Elephas maximus indicus: one gene and its partners. The protein of the gene in region 1 interacts with the protein of each later gene in a pairwise test. Links are inferred from orthologs where the notes say so. Each region holds a gene or a part of one and is shown on either strand. Other genes may lie near its edges.

Region 1 (7,630 bases):
TTTTTTTAATACATATTTTACTCACACTCCTGAGACCCTTTTTTTTTTTTTTTGGAAAGAGGTCTTTCCCCAGCAGAGTGTACAACACAGATCTAGTAATCCTGCAGCCTGCAGGTTAGCAGCTGCTCCATAGATCAACCCTCCTTCTTTTGTCTCTAAGAGCTAAGAAGAGGCAGAGAAAAGTTACTGTTAGTGCTAAAGCCACTGCTCCGTGAACCAGTGAAACCCCTACCTATGTCACCAAACCACTGTTACCAAACCGCCAGACAAAAGCAGAGTAACTTGCTTGGAAGTTGAAAAACATTTCAATACACTCCAGGGAGCAACCCACACTTAGGTGCCTGACAGATGAAAAGCGCCCACTTGTTTTTAAAAGTCCACTTATTTTGCTCTCTTCAACAAAGGTGGCAAACTGATGATTAAACATTGAATAATCTCATCTGGAAGATGCCGCCCACTTGCTAAACCTATGATTCACTAATAAGCGGCTTCAACGCAACTCATAACTTTAAAGAATGAATTACCAGAGCCCCTGACTTCACAAATTCCCTAAGAAATGAAAAGAGTACTCATCGTATATAACCGACAACCATTTTTACTTTAGACACCTATACACGGTCGTGCTTCCTGTAAAGAAAATATTTCCCCACAACCTCACATTTAATCGCTTGCATTACAGGCGATAGGCTCCAACTGAGTTCTACCAACTGAGTTACAAGTCAATTTTTCTCCCAAAATAAAATGTCCCGTTAAAAAAACATTTTAAAACAAAAGTGCTTCTCATTCTCCTATTTTCCTCTATTTACGAACCAATTAAATTACTAACGTGGTAAAAACTAGAAACTCCTGTAATGCTTCAGCGATCAACATGTGTCAGACTTCCAGCCTGTTCTCTAAGACACAGTTGATTCCTTTGTTCCTACTGACTGGAGATGAACTCCTGATTAAAATTTTAAAAACTACTTTGGAACGGATAGGCGGGTATGTAAAACGATTTGCATGGAAAGCCTTCATAAATCAACGATATTCAAAAATAATAGGGAGGACACATACCTAAGGAGAGAAAAGGAGGCTCCTCAAAGCTCCGAGGACCTTTCCGGGCTCACCCTAAATGAAAGCCAGTTTCCTGGCTCCGAGGTAAAATGATGGCTGAGGCCTCGGGTCCCAGGGGCCTCGCCCTCGGGAGCGGTACCGGCGGGGCGGGCCTGGGGGCCCACAGAGCTGTCCCCTGTCCTATTCACTTTTCGTGGCTCGGAATCGGGCGAGCACAGCCCAAGGAGGCACCGGGGCGAGAAGCGGGGAGCAGCGCCCGGCGCCGCCCAGGACGCCGCGGGGCAGCAGGACCGAGCGCGGCGCGGCGAGAAGCGCCCGGGACTCCGGGCCGAGGGGGACAGCCGAACCGATCGCGACACCAGCCCGGCCACCCGCCCCCCGGGCCCGTCCCGCCGCCAGGGACCCTCAACCGCCCCCTGCCCTGGCCCTGAGCCGGCACGGGCGGGCTAGCGAACCCAGCTACAACTCCACAACTTGCCAGCCTCGCCCCCCGGGCCCCCGGGTTCCCGGGGCGATTCGAACCCGGGAGGGGCGGAGAAGCAGAGGCGGGATTTCCCCGGAAACGATTCCTCCCCGCCGCCGAGCCCACACCGCTGCCTGCGTTCGCTCCGCCACCAGCACCGAGGCCCCCGACGCCCCCGCGGCCCTGCCCGCCAACGCCGCGGGCCGCGCTCCGGGGCCGTTTCCGGCGACGCGAGCGGCCGCTCCTCGCAGCCCCCCGGCCGCGGCCGCCACTCACCCGAAGCCGCTGCGGCTCGGAGCCTGCGGCTCCGTCAGGCTCAGTCCGCGAGGGCGCCCTGCCGCCTCGTCCTCCGTCTGCGCCCCGGCGAGCTCTTCCCCGCGAGCACAGCGGCCCACGCGAGGCCACGGCGGGCACGCGCGGGCGGGCGGGCGCGAGGGCGCGGGGCCGGGTTGTCCCTCCGCCTCGACCGCCGCCTCCGCCGCCGCCGCCGCCGCCGCCTCCCGAGTTCGGGGCTCTGCTGCAATGTCTGCGAGGCTGACTTTGAGCGCCTCGCTCGCCGCCCGCCCGCCCGCCCGCCCGCCCGCAGCCGCGCTCCTCCCTCTGCCGCCGAGTCCTCCGCGGCCCAGTCCCTCCCCTCGCCGCTCCACGCCATTCAGCTCTTCAGCCAAGTTTCTTAACCCTTTTTTCCCCCGTCTCTCCGGGGCGCTCGGGTCCAGGAGGCTGCAGGAGCTGGGGAGACCCCTCTATTTTGTTGTTTTCCTCCTCGCCCGCCACCCAGAGGGCCGGGCCGGGGCTGCAGGACCGGGGGGAGCGGGAGGACCGCGTCGGCAAGGAGAAGTGGGTGCTCGGCGCGTCCCAGCCGTCCCCCTCGGCTCCTGGATCTGTCCAGCCGCCCCCGACCGCCTCAGGCACCTGGACAGCTCCTCCCCGGGGCCTGGGGGCATAGTTCCTGTTACGTTAGGACAAAGGGCTCGCGTTCGGGGCGCAGCCTGGGCGACCGGGCACCCTAAATGCTTCCAGGGTCCCTGCCTGGCTGTTGGCGCCGTATGAGTCTCCCTCCTCCCATTTCACCCCACTACACGCGTTCCCGCGGCACCTTTCACCCACCCTCCAACTTCCACATCCTTTTAATCTGTGCGTCCTGCTTTAATCTTGAGGGGCGAGGGCACTAACACTAGGTTACTTGGGCCCCTTGGCCAGCTCGCAGTAGGCACCCAACGATAAATGTGGAGTGCCTCCGAGAGGAAAACTGGGAAGGAGACCTGAGGAGCGCCCCTTTCAGCTCCCTGGACGGACGTAGGACCCAGGAACAGGGTTTATCTTCAGTTGCTTTGTCACTGCGAAGTCTCCAGCGGAGTCTGTCAGCGAATCCACATCATCCCCGGAAAGCCTTTGACCCGACAAGACAAGGCGAAAAGAACAGGGCTGCCACTTCAGCAGCTCTCTTCGGTTCTGTCTCCGAATAAGAAATAACAATTACATCACGAGGCCGGGGCGGCAGCTCTGTGTACCTCGGTTTCCTGCAGCCTAATCTCGCTGAACACGCCTCTCAGTGTGTGTGTGTGTGTGTGTGTGTGTGTGTGTGTGTGTGTGTGTGTGTGTGTGTGTGTGTGTGTGTGTGTGTGTGTGTGTGTGTGTGTGTGTGTGTGTGTGTGTGTGTGTGTGTGTGTGTGTGTGTGTGTGTGTGTGTGTGTGTGTGTGTGTGTGTGTGTGGTGGGGGGGAGGGTTATAGATTGGTGAAGCGAGAAAGTGTAGGGAGGAGAGAGTCATACGAAACCATAATTTCCCCCTTCTCTTTACGTTTGCTGTTCGCACATCTTATCTTCAAAGCTCCCCAAACCTCTAACTAGAACTATTAACACTCCCTCAACACATCACCTATGTCAGGTTTCTCTTTGGCTCTAGCTTTAGTAACTCCCCCTGAAACAATTATCAAGGGAAATGGATGCCACTGCTGAAATTGTGTTTGCTTGGCACAAAAACGCTGAAGTACAGCTTAGCCTCACCCTAAACACCGAAATGGCACACTCGTGTTAAAACACTTCTTACACAAATGAGTCAGGCACTCCACTCGTGTAGATTTTCATATCCTTACCAATTTGGTAGCATTTGAAAATAGAGTTGCTAGTGCACTTTAAAAAAAAAAAAAAAAAACTATCCAAGTTATAAAACCGTGTTCCATGTCTGTTATGTAATGGTTGTATTGTGCATTTAAAATTTCACTTAACCTTTAAAAATATGAATGAGAGTTTCGGAATGCCTACACAGTCTTGAAAGCGAAAGCCATTTTTGAAAATAATTCTTCATAAATCTAGCACCTAGCACAGCACCTGGCACATGGCAGGAATATTTTGCTTAATAGTGATGGTGCATTTTAAAACTGTTTTACATCAGCCTGGTGATTCAACTATGCAATCTGTTGCCTTCTTATACGGTTTAAACTTCATGTAATAGTTTATTTGCATATACCACGGTTCGAAATCTGCTCCAGGTGAATTCCTTAGTAAAGTCTGCTGTTCTGTAATACGTCATTTATCCAGGACTGATACAAAATAAACTGCCCCAGTGAGTGATGATCAGCATAATTAGAGTTTGTCCCTTTAAGGGGCCAAACTTTTTGGTAAAATATGCTTTAACTTTTATGGGAAAGATTTTCCAAAATGTATTATAAATGTTTCTGTTTTCTCAAGCACTTCATTGAACGTCATTTAACATTTTCTTGAAAATCCGAGGTCAATTTTATTAAAATGAATTATTGTAGTAGATTGTAGTGGATTCCACAAACGCATCGATTTCCTATTCTATATCAGGTATCTTCCCAGGTGCTAAGGATGCTCCCAGAGGCTAAAGAGCTATCAACCTGTTGCCATCTAGTTGATTCTGATTCCTAGCAACCCTATAGGACACAGTAGAACTGCCCCATAGGGTTTCAGAGGAGTGGCTGGTGGATTCGGACTGCAAACCTTTTAGTTAGCAGCCTTAGCTCTTAACTACTGCATAAAAAAAAAAAAATTCTATCCAGTCGATTCTGACTCATAGCGACCCTATAGGACAGAGTAGAACTGCCTCATAGAGTTCCCAAGGAACGCCTGGTGAATTCGAACTGCCAACCTTTTGGATAGCAGCCGTTGTAAATAACCACTACGCCACCAGGGTTTCCTAACCATTGCATTCAAGACATCAATGGCTGAATAAAGGACTTTGGAATGCTACCACTTAGATACTAACTCGGCCTTTTGTAGTTTCTCCCCCTTCACTAACTGACAATCTGTTGTCAGTTGTCTCTCTGTTGCCAGCATTCCTGCCTCTAACATTCCCCTCCTCTTCTGATTGGCAGCTTCTAGCCTGGGCAGACTGGGAATTCAGATAGCCTCGCTTGTCACAATCCTGTCTAAAGTAAAACTAAATAGGTTCCATGTCAGAGACTTACGTACTCACCAATGAGTAAGGCACATTTACCTTAGTGCGTAGACTCTAGGACAGATATTTGGACAGCTCGAATGTTGCTTTTGAAACATTCTTTTTGCTTCTCGTTGAGGCTGTTAGATAAACAACCTCTTAAAACCTGAGGTTACATAATTAACCCAACAAGCTAAGTCTTGGTCCTGCCCTTCAACACTACTTTTAAAAAGTCCACTGCCATATGTTAGATGACTGAACAAAGGGGGAGCAGAACTGCTAGTTCCTTGTAATGAATCTGCCTTCTCAACACCAACAGAAAGCCAATCATTGAAGTCTCAAACCCTATTTGACAGTGCACTCATGTTAAGTAAATTGCACACCTTTTGTGGAATTCATTTTTACTTAATCCTGCTTAATTGTGTTGGGATGATTTTGTTGTTCTTTTTTTTTTTTTAATCAATACCCAAATTCCAGGCTAAGAGTCATCACAGGGATCCTGGGGCTTGTATGTAATAGAAGCATGCCTATTTAGTAATTTGTATTTTGAAGCCAACTCTCATTTTAATAAATTGTGATGTGAAAAAAATTTTTTAACCATTTACACACTTGGGTTTTTTTGTTGTTTTGTTTTTTAAGCCCAGGGTTCCTGTGGGATCAGATACTTATAGTTCAGGCTCAATATGCTTACCTACCACAAAAAAATAATCTGGTGAGGTATGTCTCAGATGTGCCACCTGAACCTCTCCTGTGATAGCACTTTTCACACCATTTAGTGATGGGGTGTTTGCTTGTCTGTACTTAGCACTTAGCACGCAAACACTATAGGCAGGGAACCCATATCCCTAACACTCACATCTGGATATCTCCACCACCTAGCCCTGTGCTCTGCAAACAGAAGGCATTCAGTAAACACTGGGGCAGATACTGTCATAGCCTAGAGGACAGAATGTTTATTTCTATTTGGGTGTGGAGCAAGGGAGATCAGAGAAAATTTTACAGAGAAAGTCATGCTTCAACTGGCTATTAAATGGTGAGAAGAAATTGCCAGGTAGACAAAGTGGGAAAGGAGTTCTCAGGAGAAGATACAGACTGTTTTACAATAGAGAAGTAGGAAGAAAACAAAAACATGCTTTGAGAATTATTGAACTTACACACTATGGAATGAACTATTACACTTTGGGGGGATATATATATGTATATGTCCATGGCAGTGGGTTTTTATATGTATATATATTATACATAATAATAATGGATATATTATATACAGATGGAACTTCAGTGTAGCTATACCCTTAGTTACAGCCCCATAACCTCTAGCGTGGCACAATTAAAAAAAAAAAAGCCACAAATATGAGCTACACATGTCATTTTAGATTTTCTGGTAGCCACATTTAGAAATGTAAAAAGAAACAGGTGAAGATAATTTTAACAATGTACTTTAACCCAATGTGTCCAAAATATTATCATTTCAATGTGTAATCAACATAATGCTATTAATTAGATATTTAAAATTATTTTATTTGTACTAAAAAAACAAAATAAAACCCGTTGACGCCGAGTCAATTTCTACTCAGAACAACCCTATAGGACAGAGTAGAACTGCCCCATAGGGTTTCCAAGGAAGGTCTGGTGGATTCGAACTGCCAACCCTTTGGTTAGTAACCATAGTTCTTAACTGCTACAGCACCAGGGTTTCTTTATTTGTACTATGTCTTCAAAATCCACCATGCATTTCACACATGCAGTGTATCTCGATTTGGACTAGCCACTTTCCAGTGCTCAGTAGCCACATGTGGCCAGTGACCAGTGTATTAGACAGTGTATCTCTAAAGAACTTGTGAAACTTTTAACTAGGTAAAGCCAAAAGGAATTTTCTCTTCTTATTAAAGCTTAGATTTAATTTGTGCCGATTACCAGTGTTTAACTAAACTGCATTATAAAGACTATTTTCTTGAGTCTAGGCTTTTATACCAATTAGAGAATCAACAAAGTTTACACTTTATGTACTGTGTCTTCATTAATCGTATTATAGTTACAACTACCCCATCTCTATCATCTACGGTGGTGGACTGTAAATGTAAACTGGCTCTACGGCAGAAATGAAATGCTAAAAATTTTGGGTTGAGTAAGCTTAAAAAAAAGTCCTCCCTATTTTTTTTTAGAGCACAGACTTACCTCTATGCTAGTTACTGTGAAGCATCCCCCTAGCTGTAGAAGGCCAGGTTTTGCTCTTCAACTACTCCATGCTCAGTTACTTGTGGACTACAAAATTTGCCCAGCCTTTGTTTGAGGCAGCCACCTACCTAAAGCTGCGGCAATAAGGATGTGCTACAGCTACCTGAGCGTTGAAGGAGGCCTAACAAGCTCAAATGGAGATGTTCAGACACCCTTTCTGCAGGTTACTATGCAGCTTTCCTTTAATGAAATTGGAGCTTTTTATTTTGGGTGGGACTGAAGTACTAGGATACTAAATTTCTACACTAAAGGGAGTCATGAGGACTAGGGTTAGATCTTTAAAAAAAAGAAAATCTGAAAATAATTGAGTCCAGGCAGCTGGAAGTGTACAAGGAAATGACAAATAATAAAATGCAAATGTATGGTGATGCCTTTTTAGTCCCCAAACAAGAAAATGTCTGGGATACCTACGGAGTCCAAAAAGCCGTGATGCCATGGTCATTAGGCACCCAGATTGCTCCTATTCTGCTCTCATTG
Region 2 (7,816 bases), on another chromosome or scaffold:
GAGTCTAGATTCTGGGGATTCAATAAGGAAAGAAATAAAATCAAGAAAAGTCCCTACACTGATGGAACTTACATTTTAGTGGCTAGATCTGGGTTTGAATAGTGGATCCAGCATGTTTATATTTGTGGTCTCAAATAAGTTAATCTTTCTAAGGCTCTGTTCCATTATCTGTTTAAGAAAGATAGAATGGGAGAGAATATAAAACATGCAGACTCTTAAAAGAATTAGAAATTAGATAGGCTGTTGGATCACATGATTCATGTGACCAATGTTAACTTTTTCCCCTGACCTGTGTATCTTGCCCTCTTCCTAAAGCTTACACTACTCACTTTGTATCCCGCATATTATGGTTCATCTTATGTTTTGTCCCAAAAACACACTTTCCATTTTATTGCCTAAAGCACAAACTATACATTTTTTTGAAAATTTTGCATTTTTTCATTGTGAAAATATGTTCGACTTGCATCCATACTTTAAAATGAAACAGACCCTAAAGTACAAAAAGAAAACTCTCCACATTAGAATAAAATTGAGAATATCATGAATATAAAAAAAACTAGATTCAGTTTTCTTTAATAATTATGTAACCAATCTCAAACATCATTTTTCTCTTCCCCAAATTGGAAGAGTTTAAAATGCAGTCTCTCTCTTTATCTGTATCTATCTACCTACGTACGTATCTATCTATCTCTTTCTCTTTTAATTAGATGCTAAGAAAGAAACCTTATTCAGGTCTTTGCTCCATTTCTGGTTCAGAACCAGTGGGCAAAGGACTTGGAAGCATTCATTCAACTAATAATTACCAAGCACTACCAAGTCCCAGGAGCTTTTCCAAACTCTAAGGATATTCCGGCTCTTGCTCTCACGAAGCTTGCATTTCAGCGGAGAAAGTGCATCTCTGTTGCAACTTCTGGTGCAGTGGTCATAGACTACATGCGGATACATTCAGAGTTACAGAAGATCTTGGAGGCAATCCAGACAATTTCCAACCTACTGCAGGATCATCTCTACTAGAACGTCTTTCCTAGGGTCTTCCATGCCGCTCTTGTTTAGATGTTTCCAGCAACAAGGAACTCACCACTTTGCTATTTCCATTTTTATGGGTTCAGCTGTTAAGTTCTTATATTTTTCTGGTGTTTCCAGTATTTAAAGGCAGCTTTATGTCTCTTTCTCAATTTTCACAGCTACTACCACTCCCTACACTGGACTAGATATACGAAGCTTTCCATCATTGCTTACGTAATATTGTTATCAATATTGCCAGTGTCCCTCTAAGATTCATAATTAGTGAAAAGACTCTCTCTGTGGAGATTGACCAGCTCCGAATATAGTGAAACATTCCTACTTATTTGGGTTGAAGCAGTTTGAGATTGAAATATCTTTTTTTCAAGGCTACCCTACCTTTTTGGCTTATATTAAACCTTCCGCTTGGTCAGAATACTTCTTGTCATTTTTACTCCAAAGCCTCTTAGCTAAGCCTGAGGGTTGATGACATGTGGAGAAAGCAAGCAAACAGGGAAGCCTGAGTGAAATTTTATCAATTCTTGTGATTATGTAGTGCTGTGTGACTTACTAATTGTCATATAAATTTATCAGAATTTAGCTATTAATTTAAGATGTGCTTCAGATCCAGAGCCCAAAGCAAAGTTTCAAGCTTATAGGAAACCAGACAGTTCCATAGTCATTCAAATTAAATTACTGACACTGTACTTCACATACAATCGACTCGATAGCACTGGGTTTGTTTTTTTCTGGGTACTTCATATGAACAAGGACAATAATATAGATGTATCATTGTTTTGTCATTTGCAATATGGATATTTGCTTTCACATAGGTTACAAAACATCAAGTTATATATAAGTGTTTTGTCACTGCTTGGAAAATGTAGATTTCTTTCATTTAGATCATGAATATTTATTTTACAGAAACAGGTCCCACCCAGTTGAAATAAATTTGGAAGTTATTAGAAAACACTCAAGAATTCATTTTTTAAATTCTTAGGAAGATATACAATGACCCATGTTATGGATTGAACTGTGTCCCCCAAAAATACATGTTGTAAATCATAAACTCTATGCCTGTGGTTATAATCTCATTTGGGAATGGGTTGTCTTTGTTACGTTAATGAGATAGGATTAGTGTAGAGTGTGTTTTGAGTCAATCTCTTTTGAGATATAAAAGGGAATAAACCCAAGCTAGCAAGCAGAGATGGGGGAAGAGAACTGCCAAGCCACACGAGGACCGCCCAGGAGCAGAGGCTAGGAGAGACAAGAACCTTCCTCCAGAGCCAACAGAGAGAGAAAGCCTTCCCCTGCAGCTGGCACCCTGCGCTTGGACTTCTAGCCTCCGAAACTGTGAAAAAATTCTGTTTGTTAAAGCCACTCACTTGTGGCATTTCTGTTATAGCAGCACTAGATAACTAAGACAACCCAGATCACGATAACCAATGAGCAACATTTATTCCACCCTAAAAGAAGAAAAAACTTGTATATCATCATACATGTAATATATTACACACACAGTTTTGAAAAATGAATAACATGTTTATAGTCTTTATTTCTAGTGAACAGTTTTCCCAATGATATTCAGAAGGGATTAAGAAATGTAAGATATATCCCTAAGCAAAATTATACATCCTTGAACTCACAAAGCAAACGACACACAAAAGTATCTTACGGGGAAAAAGTACTTTTCATATATATGTTGACTACTCTTTTAAGGATTACAGATACTGAAGGAGTAAAAAGAACTTTCAGAATCCAACAAATGTTTAAAAATTTAAGACTACATTACAGAGTTAAAATTCTTGAATTTTGAAATTCCTCTTTCCTCTAATGGGAAATATAAATCTAAAATAATAACAACAATAACAATATTTACAAAAGATTTGGAATTTTCAACACTCGTCTGTCTCTGCTTGAAGCTCACATGAAATTAAAATGACATAGTCACAATTTGTTTCTTGACTATTTTATATTCAGTAATTTTTAATGAAGCAACTAAATTAGGCATAACTTAGTGCAGCTTTAATGTAGTTATGATGAATATATTTTACTTGATTAAAAATGATCAAACCAGGGAGCCTTAAATATTATCTTAAAAGATTAACTACTGTGTCAATTACAAATCTAGGCAAAAGGTATTTATAAGGGAATAACTATTCTGAACAGTAACTTCCTTTTGTTCATTTCATTTAATTAATGACTCAATCAGCTTTCACACTTAATACTAAAAATTTCCTAAATTACACATTGGCTTGCAAATGGGAGGGCAAGTAGCAGACTATATCAATTTAACACTAGTGAAGACTCAGCAAGTAATCCACTTTTTATTTAATCAGGGAGGGAGGACCTGCTTTGGCAGCGTAGAGTGATCTAATTAACTAAATAATTGCCAAGTCTACATTGTATTTTGTGCTATATGACATAAAATGAGTAAATACTAGTAAAAATCAAATTATTTAGATGCCTGAACGTTGATGAGGCCTGCTCTGCCAACAGGTATGCTATTAAGTTAAAGCCTCGATGCCTTAAAATTGACTTATTGTTGTTGCTAGTTGCCCTGAATTATTCTGATGTCACAGTGACCAATTTTTTCACCTCCCTGCCTTTTAGGGTCGCTATGAGTAGAAATCGACTCCACCGCACTGGGTTTGGTTTTTTTGGTTTTTTGGTCTTTTAGGGTGACCAATTAGCCAAAATATTTAAGAAGCTCCCTACTATAGGGAGGAAAGCAGATGTAGTCATCTATATAATGTATTTATTTCTCCACAGAGAGGGAAAAACTTGCAAAATAATAGTTTTCCTGATAGGCATTAGGTCATTATTAAGATATGAATAAAAGGTCACAGATGATAATTTTCACTTAAGGAATACAAATAACACTTCTATTTAATTGCCAATCTCTTCTAAATAGGTAAATGTGTTCTGGCAGCAACTAAGGTTAACAGTTCCTTCCTCCTGGAGTTCCCCATCTTCATCAACTAAAGAGCAGCACCCACACATTTGCCCTCAGCCCCTTTGACTACCCGTCACTTAGGTGGCCACACTGATCAACTTGGCCTGTTATCCTTGAGTCCAGTAGCCCAATACCCCCAGGGATTAGCCACATGCTGATAAAAATGCATTTCCTTGACAAAAGAAAAGCACTTAAAAAAAAAAAAAAGAGGAAAGCTGTCAGTCCCCTGTCTTTTTTAGGACGGGGGAGCATCTGAAAAATGTTTTTAAAGGAAGTGGACGGTTACTTGCACGGGATTGTATTTTAGTTCCGCAAAAAGTGATGGAAGTGGATTTGCACTCTTCCGCCACTGAAACTGAAGGGTCCTGGCACATGGAAACGGCCCTGCCAGAGAAGCGAAGTTTACCGAAAAGGACTGGGCAGAGAGCTGCCATCAATTCAAAACTAACTATCCGGGGCTCACAAGCGCTGCGAGAGAGGACAGACCGTGGGACCGGGGAGCCTCGCGTCCCTCGCTCGCGGAGCTCTGGCCAGTGTTCTCCTCCCTCCCGCTGGAGTCGGAAGTGACTGTCACCTGCAGGTCCGCCCGACTCCCTGGGTGCGTCCGTCCTTCTCCTTTGCCCTGTTGGGACAGTCCGGGTTCCAGCCCCGTCCACCTCTGGCTCCAGTGTCCCTCACCGCCGCCACCCCCACCCGCTCCTCGGGTCCCCTCCCCCGCGGTTCCAGCCCCGCCAAGCGCTGCCGGGAGCTGATTGGCCACGGCGCTGACAGGAGGCGGGGCCTGGAAGTCGCGGCCAAACCCGCCCTGGCGTATAAGCCCCTTCTCGACTCTCTCTCTCCATCTCTCTCCTCTTTCTCTCTCGCTCCCTTCCTCCCTGTAACTGAACAGTGAAAATTCACATTGTGGATCCGCTAACAGGCACAGATGTCATGTGAAAACGCACATGCTCTGCCATCCACACCGCCTTTCTTTTCTTTCTGCTTCCTTTTTTTTTTTTCCCCTTGCTCCTTCTCCCTCTTCTTTGTAACTAACAAAACCACCACCAACTCCTCCTCCCGCTGCTGCCCTTCCTCCTCCTCCTCAGTCCAAGTGATCACAAAAGAAATCTTCTGAGCCGGAGGCAGTGGCATTTTTTAAAAGCAAGCACATTGGAGAGAAGGAAAAGAGAAAAAAGCAAAACAAAACCCAGGCACCAGCCAGCCAGGACATTTTTTTTTTTCCACCCTTCCCGAAAACAAACAAACAGACAAACAACCATCAAAACAAAACAGTCACCACCACCCTCCTCCAAACTGTTAGCTTAACAGCAGCGGCGGCGGCAAGCGTCACCCTCCGGCCAAGGCGTTCGCCTAAAGGGATGGTTTTCTCGGCAGAGCAGCTCTTCACCGACCACCTTCTGCACTTGTGCTGAGCGGGGATTTTGGGGCTCTCCGGGGTTCGGGCTGGGAGCAGCTTCATGACTACGCGGAGCGGGAGAGCGGCTACACCATGCGAGGTAAGCGAGCCCGCCGGCACCGAGGCGCCCGGGTCCGGCCAAGTGCAGCCAGATGGAGCGATGGGGGAGGGGAGGTCACCCAGTTGAAGGGGAAAGAGCTTGGCGGGGCGTAGTTCCCTGAGTTCGCCTTCGCAGACGGAACTGCAAATGGCCTCGGCGTACAAAGTTGTGGGAAGGTGTTGACGCCTCTCGGGAGTTCTGGAGGGACGCGGGAGGGCGCTTTTTGGGAAGGGAGCGATGTTGGTTGCCTCCTCCGGATCCTTGAGTTGCACTGAATCTTTTCTGCGCGTCTCTCTGGTGCGCGGAAGTGGAAGCGGGAGGGAGGGAGAGCGGAAGAGGGATGCCTCTCGGCCTAAGCAGCTGGAAGTGCTCGCGCCAAGCGGCCCCTGGCCCGGGCTGGGCGCGCAGGGCGCACGGGCGGGTGGTGGGGCGGGCATGCACGGGCGCACACACTGCCCTGGTTACACGGCCCACCAGCGTCCCGGCAGCAGACACATCCCCTCGCAGGGGTGGGAGGCAGAGGGGAGGTGTTATGGAGCCGGACGCTGCTGCGGGGACCGTCGCCCTTGCGCTCCTCTCGTGCCGGCACTGCGCCCTGGACAGGTCTGCGTGCCCGGGCCCCTGCAGCCCAGGGAAGAGCGCGACCCCGAAAAAGTTGAGTGGAGGAAGTTCTGCAGGCGAAGAGAGTCCGCACTACCCGGGGTAGGGAGAGCCAGGGTCCCGAGTTCTTTCGTAAACACAGGGCGCTTGCGGGAGGCAAGTGATGGGTGCTCTCTCGGGCCAAGACCTCCGGCAGAGGCACAGGCAGGAATCCCGGGTGAGCTGGCGGCTGTCGGGCGGCACACTGGGAGCAGGGTCCAGACACCTGCTCCTGTTGCACTCCGGGCCGCTCGACGGATGGCCCTCCGGTTTTGGGGAGTCACTTTGTCCTTCTCCTCCGCTTCTGTGCTCGAGATTTTGAGGGTTCCTACGCCTTGCGCCGGAGCCCTTCTTTTTTTGCTTGGCCACAACTTTAGTCTTGGCGGGTCAGTGCCCGCATATCATGGGCATCTGGGCAAGCCTCTGTGTACCCTCAAACTCTACCCTCTTTCTTTCTTCCTGACCAACCCTTCGGTTCTCTGAGACTCTACTCTCCCTCCCTTCGCACCTCCCTCTACATCTTGGCAACTAAAAGTTGGAGACAGCCAGGTCTGAACCTTCCGGCATCCAGGACCCCTTGAGAGGTGAACTGGCAAGAAGCACTTTGGAGAGTTGGGCTGCAAGCTCTTTTCACTTCCACCGGGCTGTGTTCCTCTCCCGCCCACTCCCCGAAGACCCTCTAGGAGCGTCCCGAGAGTGCATTGGGCATCTCCCCATCCCTGAAGCCTGGACGCTAGGGCGGAGATTGGTTAGCCGGCTGGGCGCTGGGATGTGGCAAGAGGGGAAAGGAGTAGGAAGAGGAGGAGCTGAGAGAGGTCGTATGTCCATTTGTGGGGGCAGCTGTAGATAAGGGGCACGGATATCCGAGTGGGAGAGTCTTAATTGACCCGCGCACAGAGGGTGGGGCCCCGTGCGTGTGCTGGTTCCGATGAGTGTCCGGGCTTGGGGCTGGTCACGTGCTCAAAGGCCCAAAATCTTTTGGGAAACTCAGATGTGCAACTGTCGAGTGTAGAGCTTTTACTTAGAGATGCTCCAGTCTTTTTTTCTTTCTTTTTCTGTCCCATCCCACCACCCTATTCATCTCTTTTCGGTTCCTCCTACTCCCGTCCGAGGTTGCCAGACCTTCCTTCTCCCTCTTTTGTCCTTCCAATCTTCCCCCTATGGCTGGATTCACAGGTTCTCATGGTCCGAAACCACGTGTCTCCTTAGCTCCGACCCGGCACTACAACCTTGGGCGTAAAAGCTGCTCACACTCTCCTTACATTGTAGAAGGGAGAGAAGCGCGAAGCAAGCGTGATAGTAGCTTGATCGCGCCACTCCTGAAGGAGCAGTTTGCAAGCAAATTCTCGCTTCACCCACAGTGCTCCCTAAGAGCCAAGCTCCGGGAATCCAGAAGTTTGCAGGGTTGAAAAGCCAGGCGCTATCCTCATGCTAACTTTGAGAACCCCAGTGTAATCCCACACCCCCGTCACCAAGGACGCGACCTCTCCAGGCGGCTGAGAACTACTTCTGACAAGTTCTAACCTGGGAGGCAGCTCGCAGACGTCCTGGGGGTAAAGCGCTGGAGAAAAGACAGGCAGAATCGTTGGCCGAGTCTCTTTCTCGCCTCCTCTGCCTCTCTTTTCCTGTTCCGTTACTGCCTCTGTGCCTTGGTGCTTTTGCATTTACAGCGAACTATGCCCTTCCGCGACATCAGGGGTTGTTATTTAAGGATGGCAAGAGA
Region 3 (7,699 bases), on another chromosome or scaffold:
ACCGAATGTGGAAATTATCGAACAATATCATTAATGTCACACGCAAGCAAAATTTTGCTGAAGATCATTCAAAAACAGCTGCAGCAGGGAACTGCCAGAAATTCAGGCCAGTTTCAGAAGAGGATACGGAACCAGGGATATCACTGATGATGTCAGATGGATCCTGGCTGAAAGCAGAGAATACCAGAAGGATGTTTATCTGTGTTTTACTGACTATGCAAAGGCATTCTACTGTGTGGAACATAACAAACTATGGATAACACTGCGAAGAATAGGAATTCCAGAACACTTAATTGTGCTCATAGAGGAGCCTTTACATAGATCAAGAGGCAGTTGTTCAGACAGAACAAGGGGATACTGATTGGTTTAAAGTCAAGAAAGGTGTGTGTCAGGGTTGTATTCTTTCACCATACCTATTCAATCTGTATGCTGAGCAAATAATCTGAGAAGCTGGACTATATGAAGAAGAATGGGGCATCAGGATTGGAGGAAGACTCATTAACAACCTGCGTTATGCAGATGACACAACCTTGCTTGCTGAAAGTGAAGAGGACTTGAGGCACTTACTAATGAAGATCAAAGACCACAGCCTTCAGTATGGATTACACCTCAACATAAAGAAAACAAAAATCCTCACAACTGGACCAATGAGCAACATCATGATAAACAGAGAAAAGACTGAAGTTGTCAAGGATTTCATTTTACTTGGATCCACAATCAACAGCCCTGGAAGCAGCAGTTGAGAAATCACAAGATGCATTGCATTGGGTAAATCTGCTGCAAAGGACCTCTTCAAAGTGTTGAAGAGCAAAGATGTCACCTTGAAGACTAAGGTGTGCCTGACCCAAGCCATGATATTTTCAATTGCATCATATGCATGTGAAAGCTGGACAACGAATAAGGAAGACCGAAGAAGAATTGACGCCTTTGAATTGTGGTGCTGGAGAAGAATATTGAATATACCATGGGGTGCCAAAAGAACGAACAAATCTGTCTTGGAAGAAGTACAGCCAGAATGCTCCTTAGAAGCAAGGATGGCAAGACTGCGTCTTACATACTTTGGACATGTTGTCAGGAGGGATCAGTCCCTGGAGAAGGACATCATGCTTGGCAGAGTACAGGGTCAGCGGAAAAGAGGAAGACCCTCAACGAGGTGGACTGACACAGTGGCTGCAACAATGAGCTCAAGCATGACAACGATTGTAAGGATGGCTCAGGACCAGGCAGTGTTTCGTTCTGTTGTGCATGGGGTCGCTATGAGTCAGAACCAACTCGTCGGCACCTAACAACAAGAACAATCAAGTATCTAATTTTTTGACTTCTCTGTTCAGTTCTGACACCAGCTGCCTATGCAGCACTTCTTCCTCTGATCCTGACCACCTAAAGTTGTGTCAGAGCTCACAAGTTAAAGGACACAGTCCTCCAGATGGACAAGTAGTCCTAAGACTTTAGCTGCCAGCTGCAAGCTTGAGAGTCCATACAACACCCTCATTTCTGACCCCTTGGCCGCAGTTTGAGGTTTTTCCACTACCCCTTCAGGATGCCAGCCTCAAGCTTGGACGGGGGCTGGTCTCCCCTCACTTTTGACCTGCTAGTTACAAGTCTGGGGTTCCCTCTACCCACTCAGGATACCTGCTATAAGCTCAGAGGGCCCCAACCCCTCTCATTTCTGACCTGCTGGCCCTCACTACTCTCTCAGGTTCGTAATTCATTGGAATGACTCACAGAACTCAAGGAAAGGGCTCTACTTAATGATTACATCTTTATTGTAGTAAGAAAGGACACAAAGGAAGAGATGCACATGGCCATGGGGCAAGGTTTGGGAGGGTTTCCAGCTAACAACATTCACTAGCTTTGTGAACTTTTCAAAAAATCCCTTGCTGTAAAGTCAATTCCAACTCACAGTGACCCTACAGGTCAGAGTAGAACTGTCCCATAGGGTTTCCAGAAGCAGACTACCACATCTTTCTTCTGTGAAGTGGCCGTGGGTTCGAACATGAAAATCATGCCAAACGGCACAAAATGTTCTTGTTGGCTGGTCAGTATATTCCCTCCTTCGTAAAAAAAAAAAAAAAAAATCTACCAGAAAGCACAATTATAATCAGAAGGATGTTCAGTGAAAAAGGTTTCAGAGCCAAGTGAGGTGACCAGAAAATCTAGATCTCACTGGTCACCATGATATAAAGTCAATTCCAACATCTTCACTATGAACAAATATAGACTCACCACAAGGTCAGCTACTGGCTGGCCAGTGCTCCCTCTGTCTAGTGTAGGCAGTGACAGCTTCTTGTTTTTTGCCTCCACTTTTTACTAACCAAGGCACCCTGGTGGTACAAGTGGTTAAGGGCTTGGCTGCTAATCAAAAGGTCAGCAGTTCAAATCCACTAGCTGCTCCTTAGAAACCCTATGGGGCAGTTCTACTCTGTCCTAGAGAATTGCTGAGTCGGAACTGAATCGACAGCAACGGGTTTGGTTTTTTTGGTTAACTAACTGAAGACCAAACCTTTTCTACAGGAAGAGCTGTTGTTAGAGACAAATGATCAGGTTATAGCTTCCTAGGACTAGGCCAGTCACTTGGCCTTGGTGTTCCCACAGCTTCCCGGCCTCCCATTTCTTGGAGTGGACTATTTCTACAATGGTGGAACTCGTTATATGTAGATACTGTGAGTCTTACTAGAGTCACTCTCAGATGACTGCCTGATTATCGAGTACTGGGAACACTTCAGACACTCAGCAAACATTTACTAAACAACTGCCACAAATCAGGTCCTGGGGATAATGGTTCTCCATAGCTGTTCAATCTTACAGTCTAGTGCAGGAAACAGATATTAAACCAATTATCATCCAATATAAAATTTGCATGCTGTCAAGGAGATGGACTGGGTACTCTGTGGGTGTAAAATAGATTTCTTATCTAGTTTAGGGTGTCAGGAAAGGCTTCCCTGAGGATAAGATGTTTGAACTGAAGGATGACTACAAGTGGCTAAGAGTTACTGAGCAATGGAAAGGGCTTGAGGAGAAGACTTTGTAGGTAAAGGAGAACACAGCGTGCAAAGACCCTGAGACTGGGTGGATCACAGCTAGGAAAAAGAACTGAGAGCCCAAAGTGGCTGAAACACAAGAGAGCCACAGGAAAAGGGCAGAAAGAGAGTTGGAAGTCAGGTAACAGAGGGTCAGGACTTGGGTTTTTTAAACCATTTAATGGTTTTAAGGAGCCGTGGTGTGGGTGGCACTGTGGTTAGGAGCTAAGGGGAGCTACAGCTGCTAACCAAAAGGCTGGCACTTCGAATCCACTAGCTGCTCTTTGGAAACCCTATGGGGCAGTTCTGCTCTGTCCTATAGAGTCACTATAGGTCAGAACTGACTTCACAGCAAAGGTTTTTTTTTGTTTTTTTTTTTTAATGGTTTTAAACTGAGTCTGATATGCTCAGGTTTAGAGTTTACAAAGATCAGCAAGGAGAATGAAGTGGAAGAATCAATAATTAATACCACCTGCGCCACGCACCTGGGAATCATCTTTGTAATAGTGCAATTTCCTTCATTCATTCATTCATTCATCCAATAAATACTTACTGAACCCTACTAAAATGTACCAAGATGTACCAAGAATTGTTCTAGGGCCCATAAAATAAACAACAACGTCAGAGAGGAACATGTTCCTTAGAACAATCAACTATACAAGATCAAAAGGACAACATTTGCCAAAAAGCAAAGATAAGAAGACAAGAAAGTATAGAAAAAGCGGAAGGAAGGAGCCGGGGAACCCACAACGGAAATGGGGAGAGTGCTGACACATTGTGGAGAACGCAACCACTGTCATGGAACACTTCATGTACAAACTATCGAATGGGAAATTGATTTGCTCTGCAAATTTTCACCTAAAGCACTATATATTTTTTAAAACTGTCCTAGGGGCTGAGAGGGGGCAACAACAAACAGGTCAGCCTCGGACCCTACGGACAGGGTGCACGCGGTCTAGGGGTGTGGGTGGGGTGGGGTGAGAGGAGAGCGTCTCAGCTGGAATGACGACAGCAGTAGAGAGCAACGGAGCGAGCCTTGGATTGCAGCGACCACTTTCTAATTGCCCGAACGTGGACCTCTGTATTTCCACATTTGTAAAACCAGAACCTACCTTGCAGGGTTCCTAAGAATCAAAGAAAACTACGCAAAGTGCTTGGCATTCAGTGGGCCCTCAGCGGCAGCAAGGTTGTGGATACTCCTGGAGGAGGTGGCATGGGGGCTGCAAAACATGGGGCGAATGCCGAGAGATCAAGTCCGGAAAAGCCTTCGCTGGGCAGGTGCGTAGCCGCCCGGTTTCGGCCACTCAGCGAGTCTCGAGATTTCCCAGGTACCCTGGCTCCAGGACTTCCCAGATGTCCCTTACTCGACCCCGCCCAGGACCGCCGCTGCCACCACCAGCAGTAGGTGAGGAAGGCGCACCGCGCGACTTCGCCCTCAGCGGCCACAGTACCCATAGCTAGGGCGCAACTCTCTTCACGCATGCGCATCCTGCGCTCACGCGCGCAGCACCGCCCGGCCCGCCCACCCTGGAGGCGGGGCCGTGTGGCCTGGGCTCCGCCCCGGAGCGTCCGGCCCCGCCCCGGGCCCCGCCTCCAGCTCGCTTAAGGACCGCCCGGAGCCGGGAGCTCGCCGGCTAAACCCCTCTGGGAGGACTCGGGCGCTTTAAGGAGCGGTTGCTGCGGGGACGGGGCGGTGACGCGACCAGAGGGCGGAAGTGAGAAAGTTGTCGGAGTCCGGAGCCGAGTTGGCGGAGCAGTGCGCGCGACGCGGCGATGGGGGGCTCGGGCAGTCGCCTGTCTAAGGAGCTGCTGGCCGAGTACCAGGTGCACGGGACGCCGGTCCCCTGGGAGCTCGCGCGTGGCCTTGTCCCGGGAGCGGGGCTCAGAGCGGGCGGCAGGGCGAGTGAGGCCTCGGGGCGGCCGGCTGACCCATTCTCTGGCTTTGCCTTCCAGGACTTGACGTTCCTGACCAAGCAGGAGATCCTCCTGTAAGTGCTCCCTGGAACCCCCGCCTCCGACTTCGGGGCCCTCTAGGGACAGTTTCGGGTGGTGCTGTTTTACGGATACGCTAGGCCCCCCGAGGGAGGGGCAGGGGCTTGCCTGAGTTAGGCAGCGGAGCCGGAACTGGACTCCGAGCCCCGGCCCAGAATGCGCCCTCCTTCCGGGACATTCCACTGGGGCCCCCCGCTTTGCACCGCGAAGCCGCCTCACAGTCCCCAGGAAAAGTTGGGCGTTCTTTGACCCTGCTTCTACACAGGACTCCCGAACTTCCTGCCCCAGGCCGGCAGGGGCTGCTGTAGCTCTTGGCTGACTGTCCTCTGGCAAAACCAGAGATGCCTGACTCCTTCCCCCAGCTTTACGTGAATAATATAGTAACCGTTAACGCTTACCATGCGCCAGGAACTGTGCTAAATGGTTGCCTACATATCCTATTTCCATGCTCACGAGAGAGGAACCGGGACAATGAAACAGGTTCAGAGAGATTTGGTGACTTGCTTAAGACTACACTCACAGTTAAAGGATTTGACCACAGGCTGGAACCCCGTTTTCTAGCCTTGTGACAGCTTCAGCGTGGGCTAGGGCACTTGAGTGAGGAGATTCCTGGACTTCCCTTGACAAAGATAATCCCAGTGAGAAGCAGGTGAGTGGTGAGGAACAGATGGTTCAGGGAAGCTGATAAAGAGAGGGAGGCTTTGAGGAACCAGAGATCCTTGGGGCGAGAATGAGATTTCGATTCTGTTCATATTCCCCTGTTCTTCAGGGCTAACATCTGGCTCTTTCCCCCAACTTCATCCCTCTGAGATCTCCAGAACCATTGCCCGTCACAGTGCCTGGCTCACAGCAGGCCCTCCATAAATACTCGTCGTGAGAATGGATTTCCAGCCTGTACATCTTGTGATATATCTCCTTTCTGCTTATGTCACGTGATGACTTTCCTAAGTCTTATGTGCAGAGCCCTGGTGGTGCAGTGGTTAAACTCTCGACCGCTAACCAAAAGGTCCAAAGTTCGAACTTACCGACGCCTCCCGGAGAAAGATGTGGCAGTCTGCTTCCGTAAAGATTTACAGCCTTGGAAACCCTATGGGACTATTCTACTCTGTCCTACAGGGTTGCTATAAGTTGGAATCCATTTGAGGGCAGTGGGATTTTTTTAATTCCTTGCATTGCTACCCATTATACGCCAGGTGAGCCTCTGTGGCTCTGCCACATACATACAAAAAAACAAAACAAAAACAAAAAAATCTTTATGGAAGCAGATTGCCGTATCTTTCTCCTGCAGAGTGGCTAGTAGGTTCGAAACCGCTCCCCGCCCCCCCGGCCCCATCTTTCAGTTACTAGCCAAACACTTTAACCACTGTACCACCGGGGCTCCTACACGAGGAATGGGAACATAATATACCCAGGAAGGCTGTAATTGGTTGAGTGAGACAACAAGTTCCCCTTTTTGGCAGAGCCCACAAGCGGTTTTGTGAGCTGCTTCCTCAGGGTCATCGGAGCATGGAGGAGTCACTGCAGGCACGAGTGTCCTTCCAGCAGATCCTAAGCCTTCCAGAGCTCAAGGTACCAGTCCCCTACGCCCTGCACACACATTCCCTCTGCTAGACTCCCTCTCATCTACCACTGCCTTTCAGATCATGAGGTTACTGGTCCGTTCTCTGTTTAGCCTAATTTCCTGGGGTGAAGGGCTTTACCAGATCACCCAGTGGAATTATCTAGAAAAGGGTTTCTCACACGAGGTTCTAGGACATATTCTCAGAGGTTCAAAGAATTTTTGTCCTTTAAGAGTAATCAAGTTCTCTTATTAAAGTTTGAGAGTCCCTGTTCCCGAGAGTGATTGCCATTCTGTAGGACTGCTGTGACAATTACTGTGCAAAGGGCCTGGCCCAGTGCCTCTAACAGCCTCTAACAGAGTAGGTGTTTAATTAAATGTTTGTGTTTTAAAATAACCAGCTGTTGCAGACTGAATTTTATCTCCCAAAAATGTGTTGTGAATCCTAACCTCTATGCCTGTGGTTATAATCCCATTTGGGAATGGATTGTCTTTATGTTAATGAGACAGGATAAGTATAGGGTGTGTTTTAAGCCAGTCTCTTTTGAGATATAAAAGAGATTAAATAAGCAAGCAACAGTAGCAGAGATGAGGGAAGAGAGATGTCAAGCCCCATGAAGCTTGCCCAAGAGCAGAAGCTCAAAGCAAACACATGGACCTTCCTCTAGAGCCAACAGATAAAGACTTCCCCTAGAGGTGGTACCCTAAATTTGGACTTCTAGCTTCCTAAATTGTGAGAAAATAAATGTTTGTTAAAGCCATTCACTTGGGATATTTCTGTTACAGCAGCACTAGATAACTAAGACAGAATTTGGTACCGAGAAGTGGGAGTGCTGCTGTAACAAATACCTACAATATGGAAATGGTTTGGGAATTGGGTAATGGGTGGAGGCTGGAAGAGTTTTAAGGCACCTAATAGTAGTAAAAGCTTAGATTGCCTTGAAGAGACTGTTGGTAGAATTATAGATGACAAAGGCAATTCTGGGGAGAGCTCCGAAAGAAAGTGAAGAGAGCTATAGGGAAAGTATCATCTTAGGGAATGTATATGGCACCAGCAACAGAATGTTGCTAGAAATGTGGGTGTTAAATGTGCTTCTGGTGAGGCTTTGAAAGAAAAAGATGAATATGT
Region 4 (7,549 bases), on another chromosome or scaffold:
TCTTATAATAGACCACTATTCTAGGATCTTGGGGGGCCCTGGTGGCACAGTGGTTAAGAGCTCAGCTGCTAACCAAAAGATTGGCTGTTCGAATCCACCAGCCGCTCCTTGGAAACCCTATGGGGCAGTTATACTCTGTCCTATAGGGTTGCTATGATTTGGATTCAGCTCAATGGCAACAGGTGATTCTAGGAGCTTAATTAAAAAAATACTGTTTGAATGTAGAATAGACATTTCATAAAGAAATGTTTAATAAGACTACATTTCTAGTAGCAGCTTCACTTTATGTAACAAGTGGGTGAGCAAAACTAATGATGTCTTGGTTCTTGCAGCTTGCTGAGTTTCGAGAAACCATTACAAAGATGTTGGGATTTCACATGAAAACAGCAGATGAAGAAGTCATCAATCAGCTCAGGTTTATTCTACAAGCTTATGAAGCATCTAACAAAAAATCAAGGACTGCTTCTGATGATGAGGCTGAACCGGAGAATGACTAAAGAAGTTCTGCCTCTTCCTTGCTGCCAACAAGAACTCACCCGATATGGATGTTTCCTTCAGCATCTTGAATGCAGCTACATTATGAATAAAATGCACTGGAAAATTTTCACTTGAATCTGTTCTCCTGTTTGCGTTTAGCTTTTGTCATAATTTTGTTCTATGTATTATGATCTACTTTAATTTATTTGTAACATATAATTATCTAATTATATTTGTTAACTGTATTTTAAGTAGGATATTAAGCAGAACTTGTGCTTAAGTTGGAATATTTACATCCATAGTTAAGCCTGTTTTCAGAATGAATAATTTATTGGGTTTGAAATCCCTCTTGGGAGCCAGGTAAAGTTATGATCTATGGCTTCTGAAATTATTTGATTACCTGAGAGTGTGAAAATCAGATCTGAAATGTTGAGGGGCAGGAAAGTCATTGAGAATTCTTATAAATCTGCAGTACACTGTAGTGTGATTTTTATTTTCTTAGTGTTTAATAGTCTCTGCCAGTGCTTTCCTAATGGTGGCCAGATCTCTAAGTTAATGGGCTACTTTTTTTTTTTTATTGTGCTGTAAGTGAAAGTTTACAAATCTAATCAGTCTCTCATATAAAAATTGGGCTAATTTTTAAATAGTATAATTTTTAATTCATTTCATTTGAAATAGGAAACTGCTTATCTCCCAGGATAGTGTTAGATTCACCTAAGATGTCCTCTGCGGGAAAAGGTCAGAATCTGCACAGGGCTATGGGCACTAAGTGCCAGCTGTGGGCGTTTAAAAGGATCTCCTACTGCGCTTAGTTTTAGAGGGATTCTTAGGGTGGAAGAGGTCAGGTTACATTGGATCTTCTGTACCTTGGGAAGAAAATGATTGAATACTCATTCAAGGAAAAAATGAGTCACTCATCTTTTAAATGGTCACAGCTGTGGTTCCCAAATTGTGTGACAAGGCACCCTGGTGTGCTGCAGCAATCTCATAGGAATGTCATGGAATATTTCAAATTTTAGAGGAAAATACAGTGACACTTGGTGCGTGTCAGGAAACCACATGAACTACTAGCTCCAGGTAGTTTATTGTTTCAACATTAGACTACTCTTCATTCCTTTCAATGATGTATCTTTGTGATGGGAATGGCCCATGGCCTCAGGACTTGTCAATCTGTCCCCTAGGGAGGCACAGCAGTTGATGCATTACTACCAAAGACAAAAACCTTCAAATGTGGGGAATGAAAGACTTTCCCCAGACTTCAGGATCCCTGGCTGCAAGTGAGAGAAGCCTGCATGTATTTCCTTTCAAGACTGTCCTTAGCCTTGCGAAAGAGGAAGGTGGGCACACGCTGCCCAGAGCCCTAATGTAGCCCAACCTGCCTAAGCTGTAAGAACTAGAGTGAAAAACCTGTGAGAGGAGGAGCTTGACGGGACCTCCTTGTTTTTCTGGGTTTTGCAAGTTTTCCATTTTGACAGGGTGCAGTCTTACCACTTTTCTATTGCTATTAGTTGGAAAATACTTGCATATTCCTTTTTGATAGGTTTCTACCTCACACAGGTTCTGGCTTTTGCAGGTTTTACTGTACCTTCTGCTTCAGGATTCCCCCAGGGCCACCCAGCTGCCTTCTGCAACCTTAGCACAAGGAGCTGGGAGGACTGTGCTATACCACAAGCCAGGTAGGCCACGTCGCTCCCCGGGCATCCCCTCTGAGGACTCCCGAGCACTGTGCACAAGCTCCCAGCTCCCAAAGTCAAGCTCTCCAGGAAGGTCAAGGTGCCAAATTGCAGCAGTCTCTGAAAGAGCTACCTTATGAGCACATTAAAAGAAAACACTCTGTAAGCACAAAGGGACCTTAGTCTTACTATTCCTTTGAATTGTTAGTAGGTACTTCAACCGCAGGACAATGTAAAGGTTCGTTAACTGCGGAGGCAGAGAAAGACCCTTCAATGATCTGGACCAGCACTCTCCAGAAAATGCTTTCTGTACTTTTAGACAGATCACTGACACACTGTTCTTCAACGATGAGAACTGGATTTAGATTTAAGACTTTAGGTAAGTGGTTTTCAGCCTCGAGATGCATTAGAATTACCTAATGAACTTAAAAAAAAAAAAGTTTTTTTTCCAGGCCTACTGAGATTCCAGTTCACTTTGATGTGGTGTAGGGCTGAAGTATGTTTTTTTTTTTCCAATGCTCCCTAAGTTAAAAAATGTAAATTGTAAAAATTATAAATTGATAAAAGTACTTTGGAAAATATTTTGGCAGCATATTAGTTTCCTATTGCTGCTGTAACAAAGCCCTGGTGGCATAGTGGTTAAGCGCTAAGGCTGCTAACCAAAAGTTCGGCAGTTCAAATCCACCTGCTGCTCCTTGGAAACTCTATGGGGCAGTTCTACTCTGTCCAATAGGGTCTGCTATGAGTTGAAATTGACTCCACATCAACAGGTGTATGTTGTTGTTATATATATATATATATATATATATATATATACACTTAGAACTCTGGTGGCACAACGGTTAAGAGATCTGCTGCTAACTGAAAGGTTGGAGGTTCGGATCCACCAGCTGCTCCAGTTGCTCCGTGAGAGGAAAAAACCTGGTGAATTCCCTAAAGATTATGGCCTAGGAGACACTATAGAGCAGCTCTACTCTGTCCTCTAGGGTCGCTATGAGTCAGAATCAACTCAACGGCACACAACATACATACCTGATGGAAATGTGTACAGTCTACAAAAAGACATTTGCAAGATTATTCATGGCAGCACTATTCATAATTGCCCCAAACTGGAAAATACCCAAATGACCAACAGTAGAATAAATTTTGACAACCAGCCACTAGTTAAGCATTCAGATCTCCCACTCACTGGCATGCTGAATTTTCTCAGGGGCCAAACTAGACCTTGGTTCTAACCAGCCTTGCGACCCTCAGTCAAGCTCTGGCCCTCTCTGATCTCAAACACAGAGAGGAAGGGTGGCCTGGATTTCTGAGTTTTGACTGTTCCAGGCATGCCCAACTATCCTGGAAGACACATTTTTGGGTCAGATAAAGGAGTTTATTGCCCCAGAAGGACAGAAGCCAGCGGGCACAGCCACCAGGCGGCTCACCTGCAAACGCTAATTCTGCCTGGGGCCCCTTTCCTCGGCTGCAAGGTGTGACAGGCTGAGATCTACCTTCGTCTCCACCCTCCAATTCACCTTTCCCCTGAAGATACCCCCTTCCGGACAGAGGGACCATTAGGGTCTGCACATGCCGCTCAGACCACTCGCCTGTGGCTCAACGCACCCTAGCAACAAGTGCAGCAGCTTACGCAGAGATTATCTTCCCTTTGAAGATTCCCAAAGTGGTCTCATCTAGGGTGGTATGATTCCCTCAGCAGACAGCAGGACATGCGAAGCCACATGCTTAGCCAGCGGCCAGGGAGTCCGCGCTACTGCGCCAGCATCCCGCAAAGTGGCTGCGCTTGCGCAGCACTGCGGAGAGGCCGACTAGAGGCCACTTAACCAAAAAAAGAAAAAAAGAAAACCCAAACTCGTTGCTTTGGAGGCGACTCCGACCCACAGCGACCCTAGAGGACAGGATAGAACTGCCCTGTAGGGTTTCCAAGGACCGGCAGGTGAATTTGAACTGCTTACCTTTACCTCTTGGTTAGCAGTCCTATCACTTAACCATTGCGCCACCAGGCCTCCAGGGGCCACTTAAAAAAAAAAATTTTTTTTTTTTTTTTTTTTAACTGAGAGACAATTCTGGACCGTGCTAGGGGTGGGAGACAGTGAAGGAATCATTCGCTGATTACTGGCTGGAGGAAATGATTGGCTGATGGAAAGAACGTTCCAGATGAGTCTTTGGATGCGGCGGGGGACATCTGAAGGAGTAGGAGGAAACTCCTGGTGCGATTCTAGCCAATCAGGGACCAGAGGCGGGGCGATGTCGCGGGAGAACGATATCGCCCGCGCGGGAGGCCCTTCCCTAGCCCTCCGGGCCGGTAGGTGGCGCGTTGCTAGGAGACTGAGGGACCTGGGCTGCCCCGGCAGAGTCTAGGCGGAGCTACCCGGCGCGGAACTTGCTGGGAGCGCTGAAGTGCCTGCAGATGTGGTGCGGCTGCCGACTTTGTACACACCGGCGCTGTGAAGCTGGTGTCAGGGTCCTCACCCCGATTCTGTTGGGAGGGTGTGGGATGGCGCCCATAACAGTGTTCGTAAAATCTCGGTGAATCTGAGTCTCAGCCAGAGTTGAAGCCTGCTGCCTTAGGCCCTGCTGAGCTGGGAGGGATGTCAGAGTAGGAGCGCCGCGCTGGTCCCTCTGTGTCTGCGATAACGCTGGGGGGATTGCTAGTGCTCCGAGAGGGTCGTCAGCTTTGCAAATCTAGGTTTTGTCAGATTCCCCCACATCGGATTCGAGGTTGGAGAACGGATCGCGGCCTTACGTAAAACCCCTTGCCGTGTAGTCGATTCCAACTCGTAGCGACCATATAGGACAGGGAAGTACTGCCTCCTAGGGTTTCCAAGGCTGTAATCTTTATGGAAGCCGACTGTCAGAGGAGGGAGTGGTCGTGGGTTCTACCACAGACCATTGGGTTAGCAGCCAGTGCTTAACCACCGTGCCACCAGGGAACCCTCCTTGCCTTACATAAACTATATGCCCATTCACCAAGATTTGGAGACACTCCGTGCTTTGTGTGTTGGCTGACAAGGGCGAGCCTATCCATAGGCAGCCACTCTGGAGAAGAAATTAGATCGGGCGTTTGCTTGGGAGCATGACTGGAGAACCAAGGTGATGTCAGACTAGAAGACGTTAATCTGTGATATCCAGATTTTCACAATTGTCAAGATTTTGCTGAACAAAACCAGAAAAATACCCGGAGACCTTAGTCTGTTCTTGGACTGCGGTTAATGTCTCCTTCTCTTGTTGTCAGGTGAGTTGTTGAATCATTTGACATGATAGTGGTTGTGCAGTAGCATTTAAGACTCAGGACTAGATACAGCCACTAATACAAATAGGCAGTTACAGGCACACTTCATTTTATTGTGTTTCGCAGATGTTGTGTTTTTTATAAATTGATGGTTGTGACAATCCTGCGTCGAGCAAATCTATGAGTGCAATTTTTCCAACAGCATGTGCTGACTTCATGTCTCTGTGTCACACTTTGGTAATTCTTGCAATATTTCAAACCTTTTCATTATTGTATTATCTATTATGGTGATCTGTAATCAGTGATCTTTGACGATACAAACGTGATTGTTTTGGGGCACCATGAACTGCTCCCATTTAAGACAGCAAACTTAATCGATACATGTTGTGTTTTTTTTGACTGCTTTTCTGACCAGCCGTTCCCCAGTCTCTCTCCCTCTGCTCAGGCCTCCCTATTATCTGAGACACGACAATATTGAAATTAGGCCAATTATATGTCCTCTTAAGTGTTCAAGTGAAAGGAAGAGTCACACATCTCCCACTTTAACTCGAAAGCTAGAAATGATTAAGCTTAGTGAGGAAGGTATGTTGAAAGCCAAGATAGGCTGAAAGCTAGGCCTCTTGTACCAAACAGTTAGCCAAGTTGTGAATGCAAAGGAAAAGCTCTTGAAGGAAATTAAAAGTGCTACTCCAGTAAACAAGTGAATGACAAGAAAGCCAAACAGCCTCATTGCTGACATGGAGAAAGTTTTAGTGGTCTGGATGGAAGATCAAACCAGTTACAACATTCCCTGGGGCAAATACTGGACAGGATCAGTCTGAGGTGCCCTTGCAGGCACAGAACAACGCATTCATGCACAGACAGCCTCACCTTGTCCTCCTGGCAACATATTACAGAGATGGCGCTGACGGGTTGCGGGGGGCTGGGAGGAGCTAAGTCACCATTTTCCCTTTGCTGCCGCCATCTCGTGAATCCTGAATCCCAGTGCGACTTTCTGTACCCAATGACAACAACATCATCGTAGAAGTTGTCCACCAACCCTGAGGGACCACATTCCTGAACACCACCTGAAGAAGAGCCCCCACTCCGTTATCCTACGCATATAAACTGCTGTCCCTGCCGATCAGGAAACAATCTTGGCGATGCAGGTCCTGATGTGCTCTTTTATTTGGCCAACCAAATAAAGCTTTCTTTCACTTTCAACTGACTCATGTCTCAGTGTTGCCCCGAGTGAGACCTGGAGGACTGATAACATCCCCATCATCCTGAAGCAGCTGGATTGATAGAACAATGGAACGGCCTTCTAAAGACACAATTATGGTGCCAGCTAGGTGGCAGTTCCTTGCAGGTTTGGGACAGTGTATTGCAGGAGGCTGTATGTGTTCTAAATCAGCGTCCAGTATATGGTGCGGTTTCTCCCATAGCCAGAATTCATGGGTCTAGGAATCAAGAGGTAGAAATGGGAGTGGCACCACTCACTATTAACCCTAGTGACCCACTTGCAAAATTTTTGCTTCTTGTCCCTGTGACCTTATGCTCTGTGGCTCTAGAGGTCTTAGTTCTTTGGAAGGGAGGAATACTTCCAACTGGAGACACATCACTGGTTCCATTGAACTGGAAGCTAAGAATGCCACCTGGCCTCTTTGGGCTCCTTATGCCTCTGGATCAACAGGCAAAGAAGGGAGTTACCATACTGGCTGGTGTGATTGATCCTGATTACCAATAGGAAATCGGATTGATATTACATAATGGAGGTAAAGAAGAGTATGTCTGGAATGCAGGAGCTCTCTTAGGGTGTCTCTTAGTACTACAATGCCCTGTGATTAAAATCAATGGAAAAACACTGCAGCCCAATTTCAACATGACTACTACTGCCCCAGATCCTTCAGGAATAAAGGCTTGGGTCACCCCACCAGGAAAAGAACCACAACCAGCTGAGGTGCTTGGTGATGGCAAAGGGAATACACAATGGGTGGTGGAAGAAGATAGTTCTAAATACCAGTTATGACCGTGTGACCAGTTGCAGAAATGAGGACTGTAGTTGTTATGAGCATTTTTGCTTTGTATGTGTGCAGCAAATATTTTTGTTTTCTTTTTCACTTATAAAATAAGATGTAAACAGGGCTAGCGCATTTTTGGTTGCATGTGTATTTGTTGTATCATG

Evidence for each region.
Region 2: the proteins of NRIP1 (region 1) and RORB interact in a two-hybrid assay, tested with the Homo sapiens proteins (2 studies listed by BioGRID). The link is inferred for Elephas maximus indicus from reciprocal best matches to the Homo sapiens genes NRIP1 and RORB.
Region 3: the proteins of NRIP1 (region 1) and CIB1 interact in a two-hybrid assay, tested with the Homo sapiens proteins (2 studies listed by BioGRID and IntAct). The link is inferred for Elephas maximus indicus from reciprocal best matches to the Homo sapiens genes NRIP1 and CIB1.
Region 4: the proteins of NRIP1 (region 1) and ESR2 interact in a two-hybrid assay, tested with the Homo sapiens proteins (2 studies listed by BioGRID, with this or other methods). The link is inferred for Elephas maximus indicus from reciprocal best matches to the Homo sapiens genes NRIP1 and ESR2.

Annotation. Positions count from the first base shown.
Region 1 is NC_064836.1:46,669,367-46,676,996, reverse strand, and holds the start of NRIP1 (nuclear receptor-interacting protein 1), read right to left. Parts: upstream 3,016-7,630; 5' UTR 2,779-3,015; intron 1,872-2,778; exon of another isoform or gene 1,793-1,871; intron 1-1,792. UniProt on the Homo sapiens protein: Modulates transcriptional activation by steroid receptors such as NR3C1, NR3C2 and ESR1. Also modulates transcriptional repression by nuclear hormone receptors.
Region 2 is NC_064827.1:90,655,019-90,662,834, forward strand, and holds the start of RORB (nuclear receptor ROR-beta), read left to right. Parts: upstream 1-4,812; 5' UTR 4,813-5,447; coding exon 5,448-5,454; intron 5,455-7,816. UniProt on the Homo sapiens protein: Nuclear receptor that binds DNA as a monomer to ROR response elements (RORE) containing a single core motif half-site 5'-AGGTCA-3' preceded by a short A-T-rich sequence.
Region 3 is NC_064831.1:75,440,610-75,448,308, forward strand, and holds the start of CIB1 (calcium and integrin-binding protein 1), read left to right. Parts: upstream 1-4,686; 5' UTR 4,687-4,793; coding exon 4,794-4,844; intron 4,845-4,973; coding exon 4,974-5,008; intron 5,009-6,472; coding exon 6,473-6,581; intron 6,582-7,699. UniProt on the Homo sapiens protein: Calcium-binding protein that plays a role in the regulation of numerous cellular processes, such as cell differentiation, cell division, cell proliferation, cell migration, thrombosis, angiogenesis, cardiac hypertrophy and apoptosis.
Region 4 is NC_064828.1:76,639,169-76,646,717, reverse strand, and holds the start of ESR2 (estrogen receptor beta), read left to right. Parts: upstream 1-4,543; 5' UTR 4,544-5,388; intron 5,389-7,549. Other genes in the region: coiled-coil domain-containing protein 170-like, read left to right, coding at 333-497.